4 linked regions of the Arabidopsis thaliana genome follow. The protein of the gene in region 1 interacts with the protein of each later gene in a pairwise test. Each region holds a gene or a part of one and is shown on either strand. Other genes may lie near its edges.

Evidence for each region.
Region 2: the proteins of SK18 (region 1) and HWS interact in a two-hybrid assay, tested with the Arabidopsis thaliana proteins (2 studies listed by BioGRID).
Region 3: the proteins of SK18 (region 1) and AT3G03360 interact in a protein complementation assay, tested with the Arabidopsis thaliana proteins (one study listed by BioGRID).
Region 4: the proteins of SK18 (region 1) and EDL3 interact in a two-hybrid assay, tested with the Arabidopsis thaliana proteins (2 studies listed by BioGRID, with this or other methods).

Annotation. Positions count from the first base shown.
Region 1 is NC_003070.9:3,353,163-3,357,761, reverse strand, and holds SK18 (E3 ubiquitin ligase SCF complex subunit SKP1/ASK1 family protein), read right to left. Parts: upstream 2,088-4,599; coding exon 1,611-2,087; downstream 1-1,610. Other genes in the region: FRS11 (FAR1-related sequence 11), read left to right, coding at 1-111, 307-927; AT1G10225 (transmembrane protein), read right to left, coding at 3,072-3,398. UniProt on the Arabidopsis thaliana protein: Involved in ubiquitination and subsequent proteasomal degradation of target proteins. Together with CUL1, RBX1 and a F-box protein, it forms a SCF E3 ubiquitin ligase complex. The functional specificity of this complex depends on the type of F-box protein.
Region 2 is NC_003074.8:22,789,565-22,796,080, reverse strand, and holds HWS (Galactose oxidase/kelch repeat superfamily protein), read right to left. Parts: upstream 3,970-6,516; 5' UTR 3,614-3,969; coding exon of another isoform or gene 3,602-3,613; 5' UTR 3,414-3,601; coding exon 3,318-3,413; intron 3,180-3,317; coding exon 1,932-3,179; 3' UTR 1,740-1,931; downstream 1-1,739. Other genes in the region: POB1 (POZ/BTB containin G-protein 1), read right to left, coding at 1-26, 119-377.
Region 3 is NC_003074.8:792,092-798,285, reverse strand, and holds AT3G03360 (F-box/RNI-like superfamily protein), read right to left. Parts: upstream 3,381-6,194; 5' UTR 3,248-3,380; intron 3,127-3,247; 5' UTR 3,000-3,126; intron 2,924-2,999; 5' UTR 2,782-2,923; coding exon 2,780-2,781; intron 2,655-2,779; coding exon 2,021-2,654; intron 1,907-2,020; coding exon 1,724-1,906; intron 1,659-1,723; coding exon 1,368-1,658; 3' UTR 1,273-1,367; downstream 1-1,272. Other genes in the region: AT3G03370 (uncharacterized protein), read left to right, coding at 403-581, 692-863; AT3G03350 (NAD(P)-binding Rossmann-fold superfamily protein), read right to left, coding at 3,733-3,753, 3,938-4,039, 4,242-4,340, 4,658-4,750, 4,834-4,910, 5,169-5,358, 5,553-5,588, 5,730-5,793.
Region 4 is NC_003074.8:23,299,046-23,304,461, forward strand, and holds EDL3 (EID1-like 3), read right to left. Parts: upstream 2,821-5,416; 5' UTR 2,412-2,820; coding exon 1,593-2,411; 3' UTR 1,245-1,592; downstream 1-1,244. Other genes in the region: AT3G63052 (uncharacterized protein), read right to left, coding at 1-66; AT3G63070 (Tudor/PWWP/MBT domain-containing protein), read left to right, coding at 3,622-3,744, 4,211-4,287, 5,103-5,416.

The sequences.
Region 1 (4,599 bases):
AGAAGCCATTTTCTAGCTGGAATGACTTTGACTGGCCGATCCAAAGCCATTAACGCCTTTATTCAGAGGTTCTTGAGCGCACAAACCCGGCTAGCTCACTTTGTAGAACAAGTATGTTCTCTTCTCCTTCTGACAGTGTTTATTCATTGCTAGTGAAATGAGTTATTTCAAGCTCTTAGGCCTTCTATGCAGTAATTGTTCAAGCATTTATTTTATAGGGTTTATGCATTTTAATCTCATGAAATGGTACTGTACGTGTGTTGAGTTTGCTATTTTTGCTTATTTGAGTTATGGGTGAATATGCAGGTGGCTGTTGTTGTGGATTTTAAAGACCAAGCTACAGAACAGCAAACAATGCAGCAGAATCTCCAAAACATCAGCCTAAAAACTGGCGCCCCCATGGAATCTCACGCAGCCTCGGTGCTCACTCCTTTTGCATTCTCCAAGCTCCAAGAACAGCTTGTGCTTGCTGCTCACTACGCATCGTTCCAGATGGATGAGGGGTATCTCGTGAGGCACCACACAAAACTCGATGGAGGAAGAAAAGTGTATTGGGTTCCTCAAGAAGGCATCATAAGCTGCAGTTGCCAACTGTTTGAGTTCTCTGGGTTTCTCTGCAGGCACGCACTCCGTGTTCTCTCCACAGGAAACTGTTTTCAGGTCCCTGATAGGTATCTTCCACTTAGGTGGCGCAGGATCAGCACGTCGTTTAGCAAGACGTTCAGAAGTAACGCTGAGGATCATGGAGAGAGAGTTCAGCTTCTGCAGAATCTGGTTTCGACTCTGGTCTCAGAATCGGCTAAATCGAAGGAGAGGCTAGATATTGCAACTGAGCAAACCTCCATCCTCTTATCCCGTATCAGAGAGCAGCCTGTCTCCTCACTTGCTATCAGAGACATTTCTTCTTCTGTGCAGAGGAATTTTTGATACCACAAATGCTATGCGTGTCTAACTATTTTTAGATAACATAATTACTTTATTAACCTAATCTTACAAGATTGTAACTCTTATCTTAACTTATGCATTGTTAAAAATATCAATCTTATATTCGTTGACAAAAAAAAGAAAGATAAGTCAACCTTAAATTCGTCGTGTTCGACGAAATAGTACCATGATGTCCAAAATTCCCATTAATAAGATTATGCATTCAAATGAGCCCGTGATTCTCACAAAGCCCAAATCCTTACCAATACGTCAACGACAACAAAGATGGTCGCACAGAGTGGGTCCTCTCGATGAGCGCTGTCATACACGCGTCGATCATTCATTTGCCACTAATTAGAATTTTGAAAATTTTCTGGAGAGAACTAAAATAGATAACCGGCCAGATAATAGAATTGATTTACGACCGGTTCTACTAGTATCTTCGTTTTCAATTGAAGAACAATAGAAGAACACACTGATTATTTTTTTTAGGCTTTTGAACAAGATCGAGAATCGAATTAGAACGCTAATAGAGCAAGAACAACATTGGTCAATCTACAAAGAATATTACTTGAGACCAAGTCGATAACGAAAAGATGAACCCATTCACGAAATCTAAGAGGGGGGAGAAGAGAAACCCTAAATTGTGCAATTCGAAACGAAATTCTGCAAACCCTAAAGTTGGATTACTCATTAAAAGTCCAAGCATTCTCCTTGCGAATCTCTTCCTCTTCTTCAGGCGTGAAATCGTTCTCGATGTTGAAAATCTCTCGTACTTCCTCTGGTGTTTTGTCCTTGATGTAATCAGCAACCGTCTGGCTAGCGAAACCGAGAAGTCCTTCGAAGTTTAGGTAGTTGGCAGCGAGAATGATTTTGAAGATGGTCTCCAGATCTAGCTTTTCCATGAACTTAGCGTCCCACGAGTCTAGATTCTTCTTCGCCTCCTCGTCTTCGTCTTCTTCACTAGGTTCATTGACGTGCATCTTCGCGTACTCGATTATCTTGGAGAGGATATCCCCGGTGACATTTTCAAGCGGAATTGCTTCACCGGCGCAGTTATCCTCCATCATGTGCACTATGATCAGAAACTTACGCGCCACCGCTTCGTCGATCTCGAAAGACTCGCCATCGGAACTCGTCAACAAAATCTTGTTAGAAGACATGGTTAGACTCGCAACCGCTTCCTCGATCTCTGATGATTCGCCGGCGGACACAATCTCTTCGGAAGAAGAAGCCATTGTTATAAGGCAAATGAGTAATCCAGAATAAACCCTTACAAGTAGGGGAGAAAAGGAAATATAATGGATCAGAATTATGGGCCTAAAGATTTCATAAAGCCCAAACAACCTATACGGCTGTACTCAACAAGTCCCACTCATCTGATTCTAGAACATTCTGAAGAGAAAACCAAAATGGGATCATATTGATTTGGAACCGGTTTGTAGAAAACCGATCAAACTAAAAAATATCTTCGTTTGCAGAGAAACGTAACTAAACATAAAAACTTGTCTTTTGCCAACATTCATATAGTATAATGTACCGTCTTGTTCTATGGTCGTGAAACACATCAAACCAATATCAAATACTTTGTTTTGTTGCCGATTTGGAAAGTTTATTGTATATCTTCTAATCTTCTAAGCTTAACATTATTTTATTTTTTGGTACAAACCAGTCCAAAACATTTATTAATACACTCAATTAACAAGGAAATGATTCGGAATAATGGGCCAAACTATTACAAAGCCCATACACACCTTTAGGGATTTGACTCGAATAAGTCCAAATTTCTGTTTATGGAGGGATTCTAGAACATTCGGAAGAGAAAAAATTGAAATTTTGCTGAACCAGTTCTAGGTTGATTGGTTTTGATAATCGATCAGGAATCCGATTGTAGAAAACCGATCCTAGTACCTAAAACTAGAGTAAAATATCAAGATGCTTCGCTAGTAAAAGACACAAAAAAAATGCCGTCTTGGATGATGATCAACCAAAAGGTTTTTCACATTAGGGTTTTAACATAAATCCATAGATTCGTTACAGAAATGAAAAAACTGGAATGACTCAACTAGAAGAAACATATCATCAATCTCAGATTTTATTTCATTTTTATTTAGAGAAAAAGAACCCTAACTCACTTGGGGGTTGACTCAGTCGTTGAAGATGGCAGTGAAGAGAATGGCAACGGATGCAAGTCCACAGAGAACAGAGAGGAAGTCGAAAGCGAAAGATGAAGGACGATTAGCTCGAGCAAAGCCGTGTGCGACCTGCAACACAACGTAGCCCACGGAGGCGAAGGCGAAAGCATTGGAAAGAGGCTTGCTTGGAGCTTTCTCGAACTTACTCATCTGGCCGTGGAGGAAGAAGGAAAGCATGCCTATCACCGCAGTCCTGGGGATTTGCTCGAAGAATCTCTTGAATGCCTCTTGGTTTCTTTTGCATTGCTCCTCCTCTTCGCTCATGTTCATTCTCTCCATCAACTGGGGAAAACAAACAATAAGTTAATCAAAAAAAACAAAACAAAAAGGAAGATATGTGATTTGAGAGAGAAGAAGAGACAAGATAACGGCGGTGAGGGAAGTCTGCAATGAACCTGAACGAATGAGAAAGCGAGTGATGTAAACAAAAACAAAATCTGCCACGTAATTGAAACCAGCTGGTTCATTTTTTTTTGTCTTGGCTACCAAAGGATAATAACCAATTTCCTTTTTAAGCTTTACCGTACGAATAAGCCGCTCTCGATCTCGTACTGTCACACCCACGTTACTCATTTTTGGTCTTCGTTCAAAATAACTGTTCTTTTAATCCAAAATCTTTGATTATATATGTATCATTATTAGTTTGGCACACACCCATTAATTAACGATTTTTTAATACATTAAGCTACATTTTCCAAATTTAATAAAACCGTGAAAGCATATGATTGATAGGGGTTTGTAACCATATTGTCATAATTTTACTGCTAATGCCATTGTGTATGCATGCGGTTTAAGCTTGCTAAAAGAAATGCAGATCAATTAACCATTATAATATTCTGTCGTTTAGCATAGGAAATTTCATCAAACTTTTTTTTTTGGCTTTTCACATGATGTTATTAATTATTTGTCGCTTTCCATAAAGAGATCATCAAAAGTTCAAAACCCATCTCAAATCTCTAAGAAAAATAAAAAGACTATAATCCATAGTCTCATTACAAGCAAATAAAACTGAAATTGGTCTTTGTGTAAACTACAATCCATAGTCCCATTTTTTCGAGTTGACGTGGCAGTGTTACTTGTATAGTTGAATTGAAAGAAAGAACCGTTTGAATTGAAAGAAAGAACCGTTTTAGCCAGTAAACCGGGTTTGAACGGTTCAATTCAATTTATCAATAATGGCGAAGAGCGAGAATACCAAAAGAACGACGGTACCGAAACAAAATCAAATCCGCGGACCAAAATTTAATATCATTATCTATTCTGACTATACCAAAACCATCCCAATTGGCTTTGGTAAGTTTATCTCAAACCGGCCTAGCCACACTAGTTCCAAACTCCACACTAAACCGAATGATTGACCTGAGTTGGTGAATCATCGATTTCCAAAATCTTGAATACTATTTTTAATTTCAATTTCAATCTAAATCATATAATATATCCTCCAGCCTTATCGTGCTATTTCCTTAAAAGAAAACCAAAC
Region 2 (6,516 bases), on another chromosome or scaffold:
ACATGCCACAATGTCTGAAATCGTGACTGCAAAATGAAATCACAACATTAAAACCCAAAAAGACTTGGACTTCGACTTCAATAACAAAAACCCTAAACCATACGAACAAATTACATACCACCAGATTCCTTCTTGATATCTTCTCTTCTTCTCTTGCGATGACGAGCCCAATCAGCGATACTCGTACACCCTTCAACTTCAGACCGAGAATCCGAAGGTCCACCCATGATCTCGATCCGAAGCAAACGATCAGAGAAGTTACTGTCGTTAAAAGCGAATCCAAAATCGCCGTCGGAGGAAGAACCATGACGAGTGAAGTCAGGATCCATTTGGGTTTTGGGATCGAACAGATCCGTATTCTCAGTAGTACCTCTCATCACCTTCCTTCAATTAATTTCCTAAGCCGGAGAAACTGATCGGAGAGCTTTTGATTTTGGAAAGAGAAAGCTGAACGTCTTTCTTTCAGGTGAGAGATAGACGAAAGGCTCAACGAGACCAAAGTGATGACTGATTGTCTGTCTTCTTATCTTTCTATGAACCGGTTTATGACTTGGTTCGGTTTGATTCGTATTGATGAACCACCAATATTCCTCCGGTTTTCTCTCGTGACATTTTTTACCTAGTAGCTTTGAGCTGCTGGTACAAAATTTTGAATTTCATCTAGGAGGCTAGGAGTCAGATTTGTACGTGTAAAAATTAGTTTGAATTTATTTGTTTTGTTCATAATTATTTTACGAAAAACCCGTGAAAAACAAATCTTTCAAAACTATTTTTAGAACGTTGAAATTCTGGGCTTTAATTCTTGAGAATAGAGGTGGGTTTTAAAGTATTCCATATTCGTTTGAGAGAACTAGTGGGCACTATATGTGTTGTGTGGTCAATTTTTTGGTTTTAAAGAGTTTTAACTTCCCCCATTGACAACTTAACTCGTTAATGCTTGTTACTATTTCATTTTGGAAAGCCAACGCTTAAATTAAAAAAGAAAAAACAATACTAATGATGTTAAAATCGTATTTGTCTTCTAATGGTTGAAAACTTTACTACCGAAATTTGAGAGACTAGTGTTCGAATCTGCTTACTATGATTCTGATCATGATTTATCATTATAAATGCTTTTAATAACAAAAATATGTGTTGCTAGTTTGGTATATTTAGTTAGGTTTTAGCTGATTTGATGTGTCAGAGTAATTGTCTAAATTTTCTTTTCCTTTTGACATTTTGGCATAATGACACAAATTAATTTTGTTTTTAGTATGTAGAATCTATATATCACTTCGTCAACTTTTATACGATTATAACTAATGAATGACATTTTGTTATATTTTAAAATTTAGTAAATTATTATAGCTATGAAAATTGAAAATAAGTGACCCTTGAGAAAATGATAAAATACACAATAAAATAGCTGTTGTCCATTACCCGTAAACCTAACACTGCCAAACCTGACAAATCCCATCACGAAAATAGGTCCCAATTTTATACAAGTACAGAAACATAATTCTTTAAAATAATTTACAACAATAATTAATTAATAAAACATGAAAAATCATTATGAATATATGTGGAAAAAAAAGGAACAAAATCATTATTTTTATCCACCAGGAACAGCAACAAGACAACCTCCAGTTTCAGAATCCGACCCATTTACATGAGATATTGTGGGCCACATGTTGAAAAATGTTCTTATATTTCACTGAGAGATAGAGAAGGGTTCGTTTGTTCAAATAAAAGTATCTGGGCCTCATTTTATAAATTTATAATTAACAGAGTACCAAATTGCAAATAACAATATTCCTGAAAAACATTTCCAGTAACTAAAATTTAAAAACATTACCGTATCATCATCTTCATAAAGCCGCCGGCGATTTCTCTGTGCAAAAACAATCCAAAAGACCAAGACTTTCACAGACCCATTTGCTTCTTCATTGCAACTAAGGAGCAATCTCGAGTCTTGGTTCGAAGCAAAACCCAGTAAAGAGCTGAAGAGGGAACTTTTTAGTAACAGGACATTTCTGAGACCATCTCCAATACTTGAGATTCATGTCGAACGTGAGAAGCGCGGGAGATCCATAGCTTTGAATGTAAACCAAATCATCCGTGCCACTACTCGCGAAAACCTCGTCGAATTCACCAAAACCTTGGAAGAATCTTTGAGGCATTTTCGCCATCTCTACCCATTCCTTCCCTTTCAAAACCCAAATCCCTATCCCTTTTATAACCTCTGGTCGATCATGTTTCCCGATTCCTCCGACAATCACAAGCCTCTCTCTTAGATTCATCAATCTCCCGCAGGTTAAAGAACACGGCATTGGAATGAAACTCCTCATCAAGATTCCGCTTGACGGTGATCCTATCGAGGATAGATTCGAAGCGATCAAGCCGTGGCGATGATCTGAGCCTCCCGTTGAGTATATCATGAAGTAAAGAACATTGTTGCAGATCACACTCTCGTTCCCTCCTCTCCATCCGGATAAGACATCGTTTACTAATGTTGTCCAAGTCATTGTTTCAGAGCTGTAGAGATGAATAGAGAGATCCCATTGGAAGAAATTCCCTGGAACTTGCTTCGATTTCACTATCGAGACTGAGTAACTCCGGTTTGCGCGGTTTACTGCTTGGTTCGCTCGGTTTACGGAGGTAGACATTGCCGTGTAATCTGTCGATTTGTGACCAGGAGGTTCAATAAGCGTCCTCCATTGTTTGGTAATTGGATTTGAGACATAAATCTTGTTTCTGCAATCATTGTCCATGAAGCAAACCAATCCACAAGAGGAAGCAACAAACCAATTGGATGTTTCGATACAAGGGAGATCGAAACTGTACCATTTGCGGATAATGGGGTCATAAGCATAACCAGATGGATCATCCGTGGTAGTGAACATGAAGTACCAAGGCCTTTGGGAAACCGAATTGTTGGAGAAATTACATAAGAACCTCCGAGAAGATACAATCTCGTTCCATCTTTTGCAGACAGTACCAGCTCTGAAGATGCTTGCAATGGGTAGAAACGAGAGGATTCGTTCTAATAAATCGTCAGGGAGAAGAGAATCCATTGAAAAGGTTTCGACTTTGGCTTCATCGTCGCTCTGCTCACGGTATGATTCAGCTTCAGGGACATATGTAATGTAGCTGTACGGATAATTGGTCCAAGACGTTTCTGCTTCCATTCTCAAGAGCCTCTGAAACAACGATACAAAAAATAAATAAATCCATTACCAAGAAAAGAACACATAAAGATTTAAAGCTTTACGAATCTGAATCCCAAATATCATTCATTTCAACAACACAAAACAACAATACATAAATCAAGAGAAAACCTTGTCAATCAGATTTGCTTTAGCATACATGCATAATGGTAAATCGAAAATGCAGAAGACGAAGAAGAGAGATAGTATTAAGACTTTGTCTAACATTGCAATACATTTTTCAGACAAAAGAAAAACAAAAAGGAGAAAGCTTGTGTCATCCTTTCAACGTCAAGATTCCACTGATGACAATTAATACAACAAAATTTAGATGTTAGGTATACAAAAAAAAAACGTTCTTAATAATGAAATTAGACTATAGGCAGACATCAATCAAACATCTGATAACAACATACATCATCAATCATAGATTACGAACACGGAAGAGATCAATGAACCACTCAGAAATGAAAGCAGAGAAAGCGACAGTGAAATCAAACAGAAACCCATCTCGATTCGCTACACACCTTCGACTATGGAGACTCTGAATCTTCGGAATTCTCGAGATTCAAACCGATAAAAAAAAAAAAAAAGTATCGAAATTTAGAATAGATTAGCGAGAGGAAATGCGGGTTTCGTGGATCTCGGTTTATCGAAAAGAAGAGGTCTTTCTAGAAACAGAAGAAGGAAATGAAATGGGTTTCTCGGGAATTTGGATTTATCAAGAGTAAGAATGAAGTAAAAGGGTTCATCAAAGAAAACGAGAGCGAGAGCGAGAGAGATTGAGATTGAGAAAAATCTGGTTTTTATAGAGAAGAAGAGACGTTTCGTGGTTCGATTGTAAATAAACACGAATGAATGATACAGACAGATAGAGAGACGAAAGGGAAAGACAAAAAAGAGAAGAGAGAGCAAGCGCGAGGATGAGAGAAGAGTAGACGTTTTTGCTGTTTTTCTTCCTCTTCTTCTTTTTTTTGTCATTTTTATTTCCGAAATGGGGTTTGAATAAATAAAATGATTAAAGTTGAGGCGCGTGTTAGCGCGTGTTATTTCCTTAATTTTTACTATGTGAGTATTAAATATACAATAATTTAATTATTTGCAAAAGAAAGAAAAAACAAAAATTAGAACTTGCAAACACAAAAAACAATGAAATATCATAACACCAATAATAATGCTGTCTTACTCATAAACCAACCAATTAAATGATTTTTTAAACCCGGCGTTATTAATATTGTACCTAGACTAAATATGATTATTTCAGTTTTATTTTATTTAACCAACATATCGGATTACTAATATAAGAAGTTTTATATATTTTTTAGCAGTATATTATATATTGTTATAAATTTAGGAGGGCGAAAGATAACAATTATACATTAGTAAATTAAAAAGTTACTTAATTTGGTATTTACTCTGGCAACCAGAGGGGTTAGCTGAAAATGACATACCACATGAGGTAACCTTTTTGTCATTTTTTGTTTATATTTATTTTAGAAAGATTGTCTTCTAATTATTTGATATTTGAATAAATAAATGATCATTTTTAAAAATTATAATTTACCTTTAGTAATTATACTTTGCTTTTGAAACACTGAAAGGTCTGTCTCTCTACTTTCCTTAGCCTAGACTTCTCGCAGTTTCTCAGTGGCCTGTCCTTTACCTAATACACTCACTCTACAAATTCAAAATTAAAAATCAACGCAAATTATCTCAAGTGTATTATTTTTAGTTTTTCGTCATGTGCACTAACTACATTTAACGTGTAAAGCTATATACTGATCTCAGCTCCATATGCATTACTTTCTTTCTTCTTTCGATCATATGCCCTTACCCTTTATGGTTTATATAGCTAGCTACTCCCATATTTATATATTCCATTATATTACAAGTGTGCGATTAGTTGCTGGCTCATTAAACTATATGATCACATTGCTCCTTAGTGCCTTTTTTTAGAACAAAATTGGTTCTGTTGTCTATGTTTTTTAAGATCTGAATTCAATTGTTAATTATTTATGTGGTGGTTCTATGAAAATATAAATCACTTTTACGATCCGTTGCATTTTAGTGTAGCAAGACTGAAATTGTTCTCATGGACGATTGATCATGTTTACGTATATCTTCAGTTAAATGGAACATGCATGATCAATTGGCCACTAATCTCAATCTAGTTTGAGAACATAAACTTTTATGGTATTATACGCGTTTTCATGGGCATTGGAAACTGAATTTGTTTCGAAACTGTATACATTGCTAAACTGTAAAAGTGTGAATCATGTACCTAAATTTTTAATTAGAGAATGCGGTTAAGGCGAAACGAAATTAAAAAGAGAATGAAATATCCAAAAGAATATACCATATAACTTTTTTATTTTTATTTTTTGAAATCCAAGAAGTTTTGGGCCGAAGCCCGTAATCCCCTCAGGCCCGAAACCACAGCATGTAATATTAGTTTCGTCCCAAACATCACACGAACCGGCGACCTCTAAGCTTCGCCTAAGGTCTTTACCAATTGAGCTAACGACAATTGGTTATACCATATAACTTTTGATTATCATAAATCCATAATCAAAGCATATACCAAATTAGACTATGTAGTAATAAGCAGTATAGTGACGCACTGCCTTAACTATTTATTTAAAGGAGTTGAACGTAAACAAATTCCAAAATGCTATGTTGTCATAGGGATCGGCGGATCTACACGTATCCGTCACTATGTGAAAATCCATAATGGCAAAAGAAAAACGTGTCCAGTGCAAAATATTAAATTCAAAATGTTTTCATTCTTACATAAGCACATGTATTTGTACCGGCAGAAGTTTAACGTTAGTTTTGTGGAAGTATTACTGCAGATAGGTAAAGGTGTAACTGTGAAAAAACTTTCAAATCTAGCTAGAAACCCTATAGTTGTCGTTAAATTTCGAAAAAATGTGAAGGTTTTGAAGACTTTGTTAGGATTGGATCCTTCTTTACACAATAAATTAAAGGAATGAATCAAACGACATGTACAATTTATTTTGGTTCCTCTTGGCACGATATAGAATTATCTATAGTCAGATTATGGATACGTTCTAATATCCATTGCTGCGAATTTTATAAATACTAAAATTTCAGCAACTATATTTTTGTTTCTCTTTTCTTCACTCGTAAACAAATAAAACGCAACGATAATAATGAAAACAAACTCTAATAAGATTTGTTTTTGCAACTTCTTTTTGGGTACCTTCTTGCATCGTTTATGAAAAGCATCTAACTAATAACTTTTAAAATAATAAAAAAACTTTAACTAACCTAGAGAGTAGAAGCTGTAGTCAAATCGTGTTTCGTGTAT
Region 3 (6,194 bases), on another chromosome or scaffold:
GATCAAAATACAACTTTTTGGAAAGTGATTTGACAATTTACTTTGTTTAACTCTCTTGATAACATCACTTCATAGGGATTGCTAACAGACTGTTTTATTTTTCAATGTTACAGCATCTGAATAATCTTCCATTTCGTTTTAAAAAAAACAGAGATTTTGATTTCTTCAGTCATCTGTTCTTGAGAGATCGCCTTGGTGGTGGTGATGAGTCTCTGAAATAGCCAACCATATACATTTAGACAACTGCCATTAGAATTCCACAAGGACAACCTATGACTGCAGCTTTCCATGAAAACATTGCTTCTCTGGCTGCTTGGTCTGTGTCGAGCATGGTTCTTGGATTTGCATTCCACATATTTTGTTGTTGTTTGCGTAAATGTTCGGATCGTTCAATCTGTCTAGCTGAGGACTCTCATGGATTCTACCTATAAGTTTGTTGTTGCTCAACTCCATACATTCAGCTCACTGAGCTTGGATAGTTTCTGCGGGATTTCGCCTGAGAGGTTATTGTGTGAAAGGTCTACCTTCTCAAGATTTCCAAAACTTTGTGGGATCAATCCAGAGATGTCGTTGTATGAGAGGTTTAAAAGCTTTAAGCTTTTGAGATTGCCTAAAGAATATGGGATTTCTCCGAATAGCTTGTTATGGAGAGGTCTATCAGAGTGTAGAGGCAGACGTTATTGTTGGCAAGACCTTGCTTTGAATTCTTCCAGTTCACTGCTAAGTTATGTATTACGATAGTGAAGCTGTATATGAAACGCAAAAGCGAAGATGAACTTACGAGAGATTCTTTCATGCCTGTATCCCAGGAGATGAAGGGAGAGATCCATCAAGATTGTTCTCAGAGAGATCCAAGACCTTGAGACTTGTGATATTTGATATGCCTTGCTTCTGTTCCTTAGGCCAAAATTTGTTCGATTCCGCAACTTCTTTTGTCCTAGGTTTGTCACCTCTGACTGATTCTTTGTTTATCTTAGGTACGTGGATCTCAAGGCATGCATAACTAGAATTGAAGAAAATGGATATGGAGCAAATCTTGCTCCTTGGCTCAGCTCCCCACCGGATAGGCTGCAGACAATGCAAATTGATTCTTACATAGCCCGAAAAGAACTCTCTGTTGCTGAATCAAAAGTACTGGAAAGAAATAATATCAAACTGTGTACATGAGAGCTGGATTTGGCGGGTACTGTTTCTCAAGGCAATGCTCGCTCACTAGACCGTTTTTCCGAGGTTAGCCAGTAGATTGGAAATGGTAAAACGTAAAAACAATTTCACAACTTAAAATCAATTTAACAGAATTCGATTATTTCAGTAAGAAAAACAAACAAGAGATTTTCATCTAGTGTACTACTTAAATGTAAAATGACTTAAGTCACTCTGAATCGTTTTCTTCTTGAGCTGAGCACAATGGAGACATCGTTGTTGCGAGGAAGCATTGGAACCATCTGACGCAACTCTACAAAACGTCTTCCTTTGATATAACCTTCCAACCTTGCGACAATCAACTCTAATGTTGATATGGTTTTAAGCACAAGTTGCAGAAACGAAGCCACTTGCTTTGACTCTACATTCCTGCGGGAAGTGTTCTTAAACTCCGAGCTCCAGGATGGATCCCAATTCAAGCCATGAGAATCCAAGTATATGTCAATATGCTCTTCCTGTAATGCAAGTATATTTCAATATGATGATTCAAAATTCGGGGTCAAGGAATATTCATAATTACCGGTATGGGATATGAGCCGGCAGACCCCATTGGGTGTATGGTTAGCTTCTTCAAGTCAGGCGAGTTTTGTAGCACCTTTACTATACCATGAATAACATATCGAGAGATCATTGTCTCAAGTATCAGAGCTTTAGCCTTCAACTTTGGAAAAGAAACACCACGGAGCTCGGCAAGAGATAACATCTATAACAAACAAAAAAAAACAGAAGACAAATGAGTGTATACCAAAAAACACACTAGTTTTCTTGAAAATCAGAGCCTAATTATGTAAACTAAATCAGGAGTGAAAACATATACCTTAAGAAAGTTTGCCCCCAAAGTAAGCTTCTCCACATTCTGACACTTTTCTAACATCTTTACCACCATGGTCTGATGAAAATCAGCCTCCAGTTTATTATCAACTATTGCGTAAGCGGTAATGTCTAGTTCAGCTTGGGATAAAGAGGAGACATCAACTAAAGCACATGGTTTCTCAGAGTTTATCAATCTGAGACAACGGATATGTGGTGCAACGAGCTGTGTTGGCTCCATTCGACATCTACGAGTGATTTCTAATGTTATCAGACGCGGTGATTTGCTGAGATCAAGGACCTTCAGTTTCTTGCAGAAAAACAACAATAAGCTTTCGAGAATGGGACAACCAGATAGAATAATAGCAATGGATTCATCAGAGATGTTGCAATGATACAATGACAGGTTCTTCAGGGATGTCCAAGACACAGAACATTTGGGATTCAGAGATATAAAATCCTTTTTGCAGCCGAAATCAAGGTAGAGTTGCTTGAGAGAGGAATTGATGTAAAGGAATTCAGGGATATCATATTTATCCTCATCGAGATACAGGGACAGATTCTCCACGTTTCGGGACATGGCGAAGTTGATCCAACTGTCGATGTCAGCATGCGTGTCGGGTCTGCTGATACAGGCTGCCCTGCAACAAGAACAGATACGAAAACTCATCATCTTGGGAGCCCTGTAGCGATCTAGGATTCTGTTAATACAAGGAGCATCCGGTCTGTCCCTATGGAAGGAGAGGGACCATGTATCAGACCATACATGCCTCCATCGCCTGGATAAAACGGAAGTTTTGATCGCCAATCTGGTTGGAAGATAGGAGAGAATTAGTTGGAGAATATCATCAGGCAACCTACTGATCAAGTCTCCAGCTTCTTTGAGATAGCTAGGGCTTGCGCATGTACTCTGCAATTTGTATAAATATCGCATCACCCACATAAGAGAAAAAGGATTGGATATTTGGATTATAGAGAGATATTACCTTAGAGGAAGAGAAAACAGTAGACGAAGCATCGGGTCTGGTCGAGTTTTCCTGACTTTCCTTCTCCATCTTTTCGGTTTCCGAGTTCACCTTTTCTTCTTGTATAAACTTTTAGATCTATTGACATCTATAATAAATTTTCGAAGATCACAATCTAAAAATGATATTTACCAATTTGTATATAATGATGATAAAAGGAAGGAAATATAGGGGAAATGAGTAAAGGAGAAGAAGGAGAAAGCAGTTACCAAAAATTAAATTACTGCCGGCACATATCTGCAGAGAAGGAAAGAATGAACAGTGATCAGCCTTGTGACAGCTTTGGCAGGAGTGTTGTCTGTGAGTTTCTGGCAGCAAGTGAATCCCCAAAAGCTTTTCATTAGTCTTCAATATACGCATCACATAACTTTCTTTTCGGTTTTTCTTTTCTAGGAACTCAAGTCCACTGGGCTCAAAAGCCTGTTGGATTACTATATACAGTAGTCCGATTTATCTCGTAGCTGCATCTGAAAACCTCTTGAGCGCAAAGAAACTAAATAGCAAAAGCCAAGGGAAGGCATGTACTGCACTAGATACATCACAAGCAGTACTGGCTGATAAATAGCAAAAAGAAGATCGTATATCAGCATCTAAACTGAGTGAAACATATGCGATTTTGACAAACAAGTACCTGATATGAAATCCAAGCTTCCTTCAAGCTATGAGACGCGGCGATTATAGTCAGTTCTGCATATCATTCAGATGACACACGCTTCTGTGTAGCAAAAGAAAAGATCTTTGAGTGGAAATAAAAAGAGAAAGAAGCCGGAGATAGAAGATCCTAATGTTGAAAAGGAAGAGGATTCTATGTGTCTACAAGACTGATTAGTTGCTTAAAGGAAAGGTACAAGTACAAAAAACTGACAACTTAATCAACAAATCACAATCAGTTAACCAACCTCATGAGACTTCTTGTCTTCCGAAGTTGATGTTCCTGTACCATTCAACGTTTCTATTGGACCAGGAATAACGACGGTCACTTTGATTCCCTCCTGACAGAACTGAAACCATAGGCAGATTGTGAACCAACTGTGAATTGTTACTTTATGGTGCTATTCTCAGCAATTAGTGAAAAGGAATGTAAAAGAAAAAATCAAATCAGAAAACTCTGAGGTAGCTGTGAGTTTTCTATTGTGACTTTCAATAAGTCATTAGCTGCCAAATAATTAGCAAGCACCACAGTTTCTTTAACTTTTAACATACCTCAGAACGCAAGCTGTGGAAGTAGCCGTGCAGAGCATGTTTTGAAGCAGAATATATAGCCTGTCCAGGTGATGGTACCTTTCCTGCAGCACTGCTTATCTATAGACTGACGTGAATTATTAATCATGACATTTAACCCAAGGAAATGGAAAATTAACACATACAAGAATAGCTAACCGTAGTTTGACTTCTCAAGATGTGTATACGGTAACATGATTTGGAATTTAGCAAGCAGAAGACAAAAATACAAAAGAAACCTTAAACTATCTATACATAGCTTAAAAGCCTTAGATTTAACATATAAAAAACGCAATGTATATCCATATCCATAAACTATGATATGAAGCTCAATCCTTCAACAAATCCACAAAATTAGGGCACTTAACAAAAACTATCCCTCGTTAGTCTCCACGTACCACAACAAAATGACCGCCTCCTTGTTTTAGCATATGAGGAGTGACCAACTTTATAAGAGTTATCGTCCCAAAGACATTGATATCGAATGTAGTCTGCACACAAAGTCATTGAATAATCATATGTCACCAAGCAAACCATTGTATGGCCTACGGATTTTATGCAATTAATTTAGTACATTGATAGTTTCCTCACTTGCATCCGATGCCTTGGATTTCTGCAAGAAAAAAAATATGATGATGAAACGACATAAAACTAAGGTACAGAGCATTTAAGGCAAAACCAACACAAATCTCAACCGTTCAAGGCTAAGACAAACCTAATGAAGAAACCTGACAAAAGCGTAGCCAGCAAATAGATTTGTATGAGGATGTTTTGATGGAGAAGGAACTTATAAGGATGCAGAGCTAATGCAATAAACTATTTCAAGATCAATGACGATTCTGATCACAATGCTGAGAAAAAACTAGAGAGTCAGTTTTAACAAGCATTTTGCAGAAGAAGGGAACTTACAAGAATGTTGAGCTTGCCACTGAATCAACTTATCCCTCTGATCTCTAACCGAACCAGACACCACTAAACCACTGGATTTGCAATCATTTAAGCATGCTTTTAGCTCTTCCTGTCTTGTAGTGTAGGAGGCTGCAGGAAGGCAAAGAAAAGCAACCAGTGACGCGATTTCCTCCGGTGCTGGTAATCTTAACTATGTTAACATATAACAGATCTTGCCTAATAGATGGAAAACTTACATGAGATCAACAAGCATCACTATATGGTTCAACAAAAAACCGTAAGCCTTCACATTACATGTATGGAATAGACAGATAGCTGATCATTCGAGGCAAAACCACCAAAAGTCTAAACCATTCAATCCTAAGACCAAACATATATAGAAACCTGATAAAAGTGTGGCAGAATGGTTCGAAGATTGTTCTATCGGATAAGAAACTTGCAAGGATACGAGCTAATGTGATATGTAGAATTTCAAGATTGGTGAAGATTCCAATGTGTAGAAAATTCAATAAAAAAAGCATAGAAAACAACAAATGTCTTTAGCATGAGAAGGGAACTTACAAGGATGTTGAGCTTGCCGCTGAAAGCAGAAGAAACTTCCTGAGTCAACTTATTCCTCTGATCCCTAACCATTTATGTGCAACTCCATAGTCAAACACAGACAAAATCTTCCAAGTGATCCTCATCAACCATTTGCTTTCAGATTTTGATTTTGGTGACAGGAATCGATTTGAGAAATAACCCCAAAACCTGAAATAGAATCAATTGTATCTAAAATGGGATTGAGAGACGTCAAAATTGTTTTGAATAGAATGAATTGTACCTAAAAACAACAACTTTCATCAGATTGAGAGAAGAAGACGAAAAACTAATATGGAGCTAGCAACATGTATACTATTTCACTTTTTTTAGAGTTTTTCAACCAATCAGAAGGCTGTATTTCACCCCCACTCTCACAAAGTGAGCGTTGAGCGCGTGAGAGCACTTCTGTGGGTGTACCCCTTTGGAAATCATGCCTTTTTTAAT
Region 4 (5,416 bases), on another chromosome or scaffold:
ATCTCTGCGGATAAGTGGCCCGGGGACTTTCCTGGGTCGGAACTTGGACAAGCCCATATGACCCATTCACTTCGTCCAGTGACAATTGTGTTTGGTTTTACTTTGCAGATGTATATATAGATACGTCATATTATTCTTATTACCGATGTGGGATGTTAACCTAAAACGTTTCATAGTATTATTAACTTTCGTTTTTTCTGGGTTGATGAAGTGAGGGATTTAATTTTAACTAGAGAAAAATTGGACTTTGAATTTTGATGGGTTGAGCCAGGCCCGTGCAATGATTTTTATTTGTTTTCTAGTCCTGAACGTTTCTAAAATAGCAAAATACATCCTATATTCTTTCTTATTAGCGAAATAAACCCAGATCTAGTATAATGTTGTAAAAACCATACCTCTTTTTTTTTTTTTGGTTTCAATGTGAAGAGCATACAGATCACACAGAGATCAAGTACATGGCCATCTCTGCTTGTATTATCTGAGCTGTTCTCATGTTGAGTTTCCAATCCTGGTGAGACATTTTTGTAAGCAAATCAATTCCAAGCGTATGCAGAAAAAGGATTCACATGTTAATACCTCCAGTTACTAGTTCGGCTCTCTTAGCAGCTGCATCAGCAACTCTGCAACAAATAGCTCAACACTTAATTTGGAATGACTATCTATTTGCAAGTATATGGCTTTGGTTAATATATGACATTACCTTTTCCGTAACAATCGCCCCCGCCTTCTCTCTACAATATACTGAATCACATGCTTGGAAATCAGAATCACACCAACAACAGTTAAACCTATGGAGACATATTTGAACCTCCTGCCAAAGAGATCCTTTTAGACTTTTTCAATCTCAGTTTTCGAGGAAGACAATAGCCATACTGAGAAGAGAAACAACCTTGACCACTTTTCCAACGGAAAGATGATCTTATCGAGCGGTACAGGTGAGACAAAGAAAAGTCCATTCTCGGGGTTTTGAATCCTGAAACCACGGACACCGTCCTTAACAACCTGATGACATGGTAAGAAACAATACAAATGAGATGTAGAACGTATATTGGTAGTAATATAAGAAGATTTTGGAACCGGTGACAGATAAAAGGCGTACCTCACCAACAACTGTAACCGGTGTGCCAATTGAGAGGACAAGCTCACCTCACTATATATGAAATTTTATGTATGGATTATGGAACTCATTTGCTGTTTGCAACATATCGCCATTGTTATAGTCATAGAAACAGAGGGGAAGATGTAATAAAACCAAATGTTATTGTTTCAATTTCTTTTTATACTTCACCAAATTAATGGCCAACATTTCGCAATAAAACAAACCAGATACAATAAAATTCTAATGATCTATGACTATGAGTGTGTAGTGTACCAAAATTATCTATGAGTGTGTAGTGTACCAAAATTATCTAAACCCAAACTAGACAAATCGGTGATAGATAGAAAGATCTTCTCACGATCCACAATCAGCCTGCAACTACTACTAGTGAGCTCCACATCTCATAGGAGAAATCTAACTGAGATTTTCCTCTTGTGGTTTGCATATGGCCCAAGAGACCTAATTCCACGTGGACATCGCCACCACCATTGGATTAGATCACACTTCCGTCACTGTTGTCGTCGTCTTCTCCATTGTCTTCTTCCTCCGATGAAAGCGGAATCAGCCAGCAAGTGCCGTGCAAGTGACCGTTCACGCACACGAAGAACTCTAACCCACCTTCACGTGATCCCAGCCGCCGCGCCGCACTCTTCGGGACGAGACGCGCCGCCGTCATGCTCCACACGCGCCCTCCGCAATACGGACACCTAACCTTCTCCTCCAGCGCCGCTTGTCTTCTCACGAGACACTCCCTCGTCTTTGACCTCATAAATTCCCGAAATACCCCTCTGAAAACCCCTAAATGCTCATCTCCACCCACCGCCTGATGCTCGCACGGATCGCTCATGTATAGGAGATCACGGCGGCAATTCTTTGGCAGGAAGAATCTCCCGGATGTCTTGGAGAATCTGGACTCGCAGGCGAAGTGACCCGACGTCGGTTGACTCAGATTGAAATACCGAGTCGACTCACCCCCGCCGCAGAAGAACATGAGTTTCGCTAACGCGTGCCAGCCGCCGTCGATTCGACCGCTGGGATCTTCGCCGGACAATGCCGCCACCATCCCTGGCGCACGGTTCACACAGAGCCGCCGCCACAGAATTCGTCTGGCGATTGCGCAGAATCTGCGGCTGAGGGAGGCGATTGTGCATAGCGTGTGGATGTCCCAGCTAATGGACTCGAAGACAAGAACCAGGACTCGCTCATTCTCTATACCTGACTTACCCGAGTTGGGTAATCGACTCGGTTGGTTAAATTTGAGCCGTCTATTCGTGTTCATCTGGACGACGGAGAATCTTCCCTCTAGAAGCATTTGAGTTTTTGCGGTCTAAACACGCGCGTCGTGATCTATCGTATTTATATCAGTTGGTCCGGTGCTCGAGAATAACACACGTGGCTTTATGCTAGAATAAAAGATCCATGGAGCTCCCCGACGCTAAATGTGTCGAGCTATCATTGGTAGTTGTGACGCGTGTCCATTGGTGATTGCGTGCGCTGCAACAGAGAATCGGAGGTATAAACTGACGTCTCGATTGGTATTAAAGGAAAAAATTAAGGAATGGGAGTGCCACGTGTCGAGCGAGAGACGGAAACGCGAATCCGAAACGTACTTTTCTGGAACCAAAAATATCTCCCGGAACACGTGTCACGTTCAATTGCAGTCGAGAAACGTGGCAAATACGAAGTAATCTTCCAAACTAAGAAGAGCCACAAAGCAGTCGCATGAAAGGCAGCATAAGCTCCCAAAAGGTCCGTCCAACAGGAAGATTTTTTTAGTGGTCAACGTCTTGGTCGAGTTTTTCAAGATCGGGAACTGATGCTTTTTGCTTTTTGTAGTGGTCAACACATGACAACTACAAACTACTACGAAAATGTTTGATGGATTGGATAACGAGGTTAAGCTAATAATGGGCTGAATGGACTTTATTAAAGCCCATACATTCCGTTTCAAATAGAATGGGCTTAGAGGAGTGGTTGAATCACGTGGATTTGTTTTTTCTTTTTTTTAACTCTGATCGACGTTTTGTACATACCAGTCAGATTCGCTCTTTTAACCTTTTAAAGGAAATAAAGTTAACCTACGCGTGTAAGGCGCACGTTAGACATCGCCTTTGGAAATTGGCAAACCCTACACCGACCGAACAAACGATTAACAAAAATATACATACTCCTCATATCGAGAGCAGCTTCCTTTTCATTTTCTTCTCCCTCTCCTGGGTTTCGTGTGTGAATGTTTCTCTTCCACAAAAGCGATAGAATCCACCAGAAATCTTCGATTGTCTCTCTCCCTCATCTCAATTAGGGTTTACGGGACCGATTTTCTTCTGTCTTGCGTGCCTACATCCGTCGATTGGGTTGGGAATTTTCAATGCCTGCGAGTTCTTTAGCGGAATCTGTCTCCGAAAACCCTAGGCACTGCCGAGCTGCTAATTTTCGCCTGTGGTTCTGGCTTAACTTCGAGAGTTAGAATCCTTACCTTTTCCTTTTCTGATTTTCGTTGTTTTTTTTTCTTCTGAATTCCGATGGCTCCGAGCCGCAAGAGAGGGGGTGGTAGGGCTGCGGCGGCATCATCCGCTCGCCGAGAGTGGAAGGTTGGCGATCTCGTTCTTGCCAAAGTCAAAGGATTTCCTGCTTGGCCTGCCGTGGTATGTGCATCTATGGCTTTGCTTTTTCTGCTATTTCTTCTCTTTTCTGTTTGGTTCTGCAAGAATTGCTTATTAGATTCATGATTTAGTTTCCAGTTGACGGTAGAAATAGCTATAAATTTAGGGTTTGAAGTTGCATGTATGTGCATCTGTATATAATTCAGATGAAAGTTCCTCTCTGGGATTAGCAACTGCCTAAGGGATATGGATATTTTCAGAGGGGTTGGTGACCTTATCTAGTTTTTGGCAGATTGCAGGAATACCCGTGATTAGTTGTTGTAGTTGTTAGTAGATTACCACTGATCCAGACTTTCGTTTAGCAACTTTATAGGCCATTTTACATCTTCTAAGTTTTGGATATATGATGATTATTCCCTATAATATCCCATTTGCCACTTTCCAGACCAGTTTGAATTTGATTTTTTGGATCACTTGCTCCTGTGCTAATTGCTGGGAGTGATTTCAGGTTGACGAACCGGAAAAATGGGGCCACTCAGCCGATTCGAAGAAAGTAACTGTTCACTTTTTTGGCACTCAACAGATGTGAGTTCTCAGGCCTTTAGTATCACCCTCATATATTTTGTTTTGCTTTCTGGTCATACTTCCCAAATGCTTACATTTTCAGTGCGAGTTCCTATTTGTCATCCTACACTTATTTTAGGTCCTTAAATTTTGTGTCCCCGTTTGAGTTGATTAATTCATTTTATTATGATTCTTATTCGAGGAGATAAACTTCGGTTCTTGTCTCACTAGATTAGGACGTAGAAGCTGGTACCTTGGTTATGGCTGTAGATTTTAACCTTTCCTGTTCCGGCAGGATCAATTTGCTGTGATGTATGTTCTCTAACAGACACCACTAAGCTCTAATTTTACTTGGTTTAGAATCTGAATCATTCCTGGTTTGAACTTCTGTGTTCACTTGAGTTAATGATAATTGAGTCGATTTTCTTCTTTCCAGATGTTTCGCAATAGTGCTTCTTTGTTGAACTTATCGTTAGCAATTTTGTGTAGAGCTTCCATATCTGTTGGATGGTGACTTTTGTTATCATTTATCTTAAAGCCTTTTGCATGTTGAATTCTCTGAAAACTCTTTAATCATTTACTTTGCAGATTAGCATCAGCATTTAGCGAATGTTCTTTTTGTTGCTTCATTCATTCCCACGGTTAAGTGGATACTGATGTATAATTATTATGACGAAGCATTTTAGCACAACTGTCTGCTTTTCAAATTTAATTGGTTTTTAAGGAATCAGTCCAAGGTTGTAGTAAACTATGCTCACTGTCTCTTCCCTCTAGATCAGTTAAATGTTATTTATTTTAGGGTATGCAGTTAGTAATATTTTCTGGTGTATGTGCAGAGCTTTTTGCAATCATGGTGATGTTGAATCATTTACTGAGGAGAAGAAGCAATCACTTTTGACAAGACGGCACGCCAAAGGTTCAGATTTTGTCCGTGCTGTCAAGGAGATCACAGAGAGTTACGAGAAGCTGAAGCAGCAGGACCAAGCTAGTGGGCCTAAATATGCTGAAGAAACAACTGCTGGAAGTTCTGGGAACACTTCACAGCTGCCTCAGGCCTGTGAAAATCTAATTGGTTCAAGACTTGACACTCAAATAGAGTCAAGTTCTAGTCATGGTAGAGATGAGTTGACTCTTCTCAGCGAAGATGCTT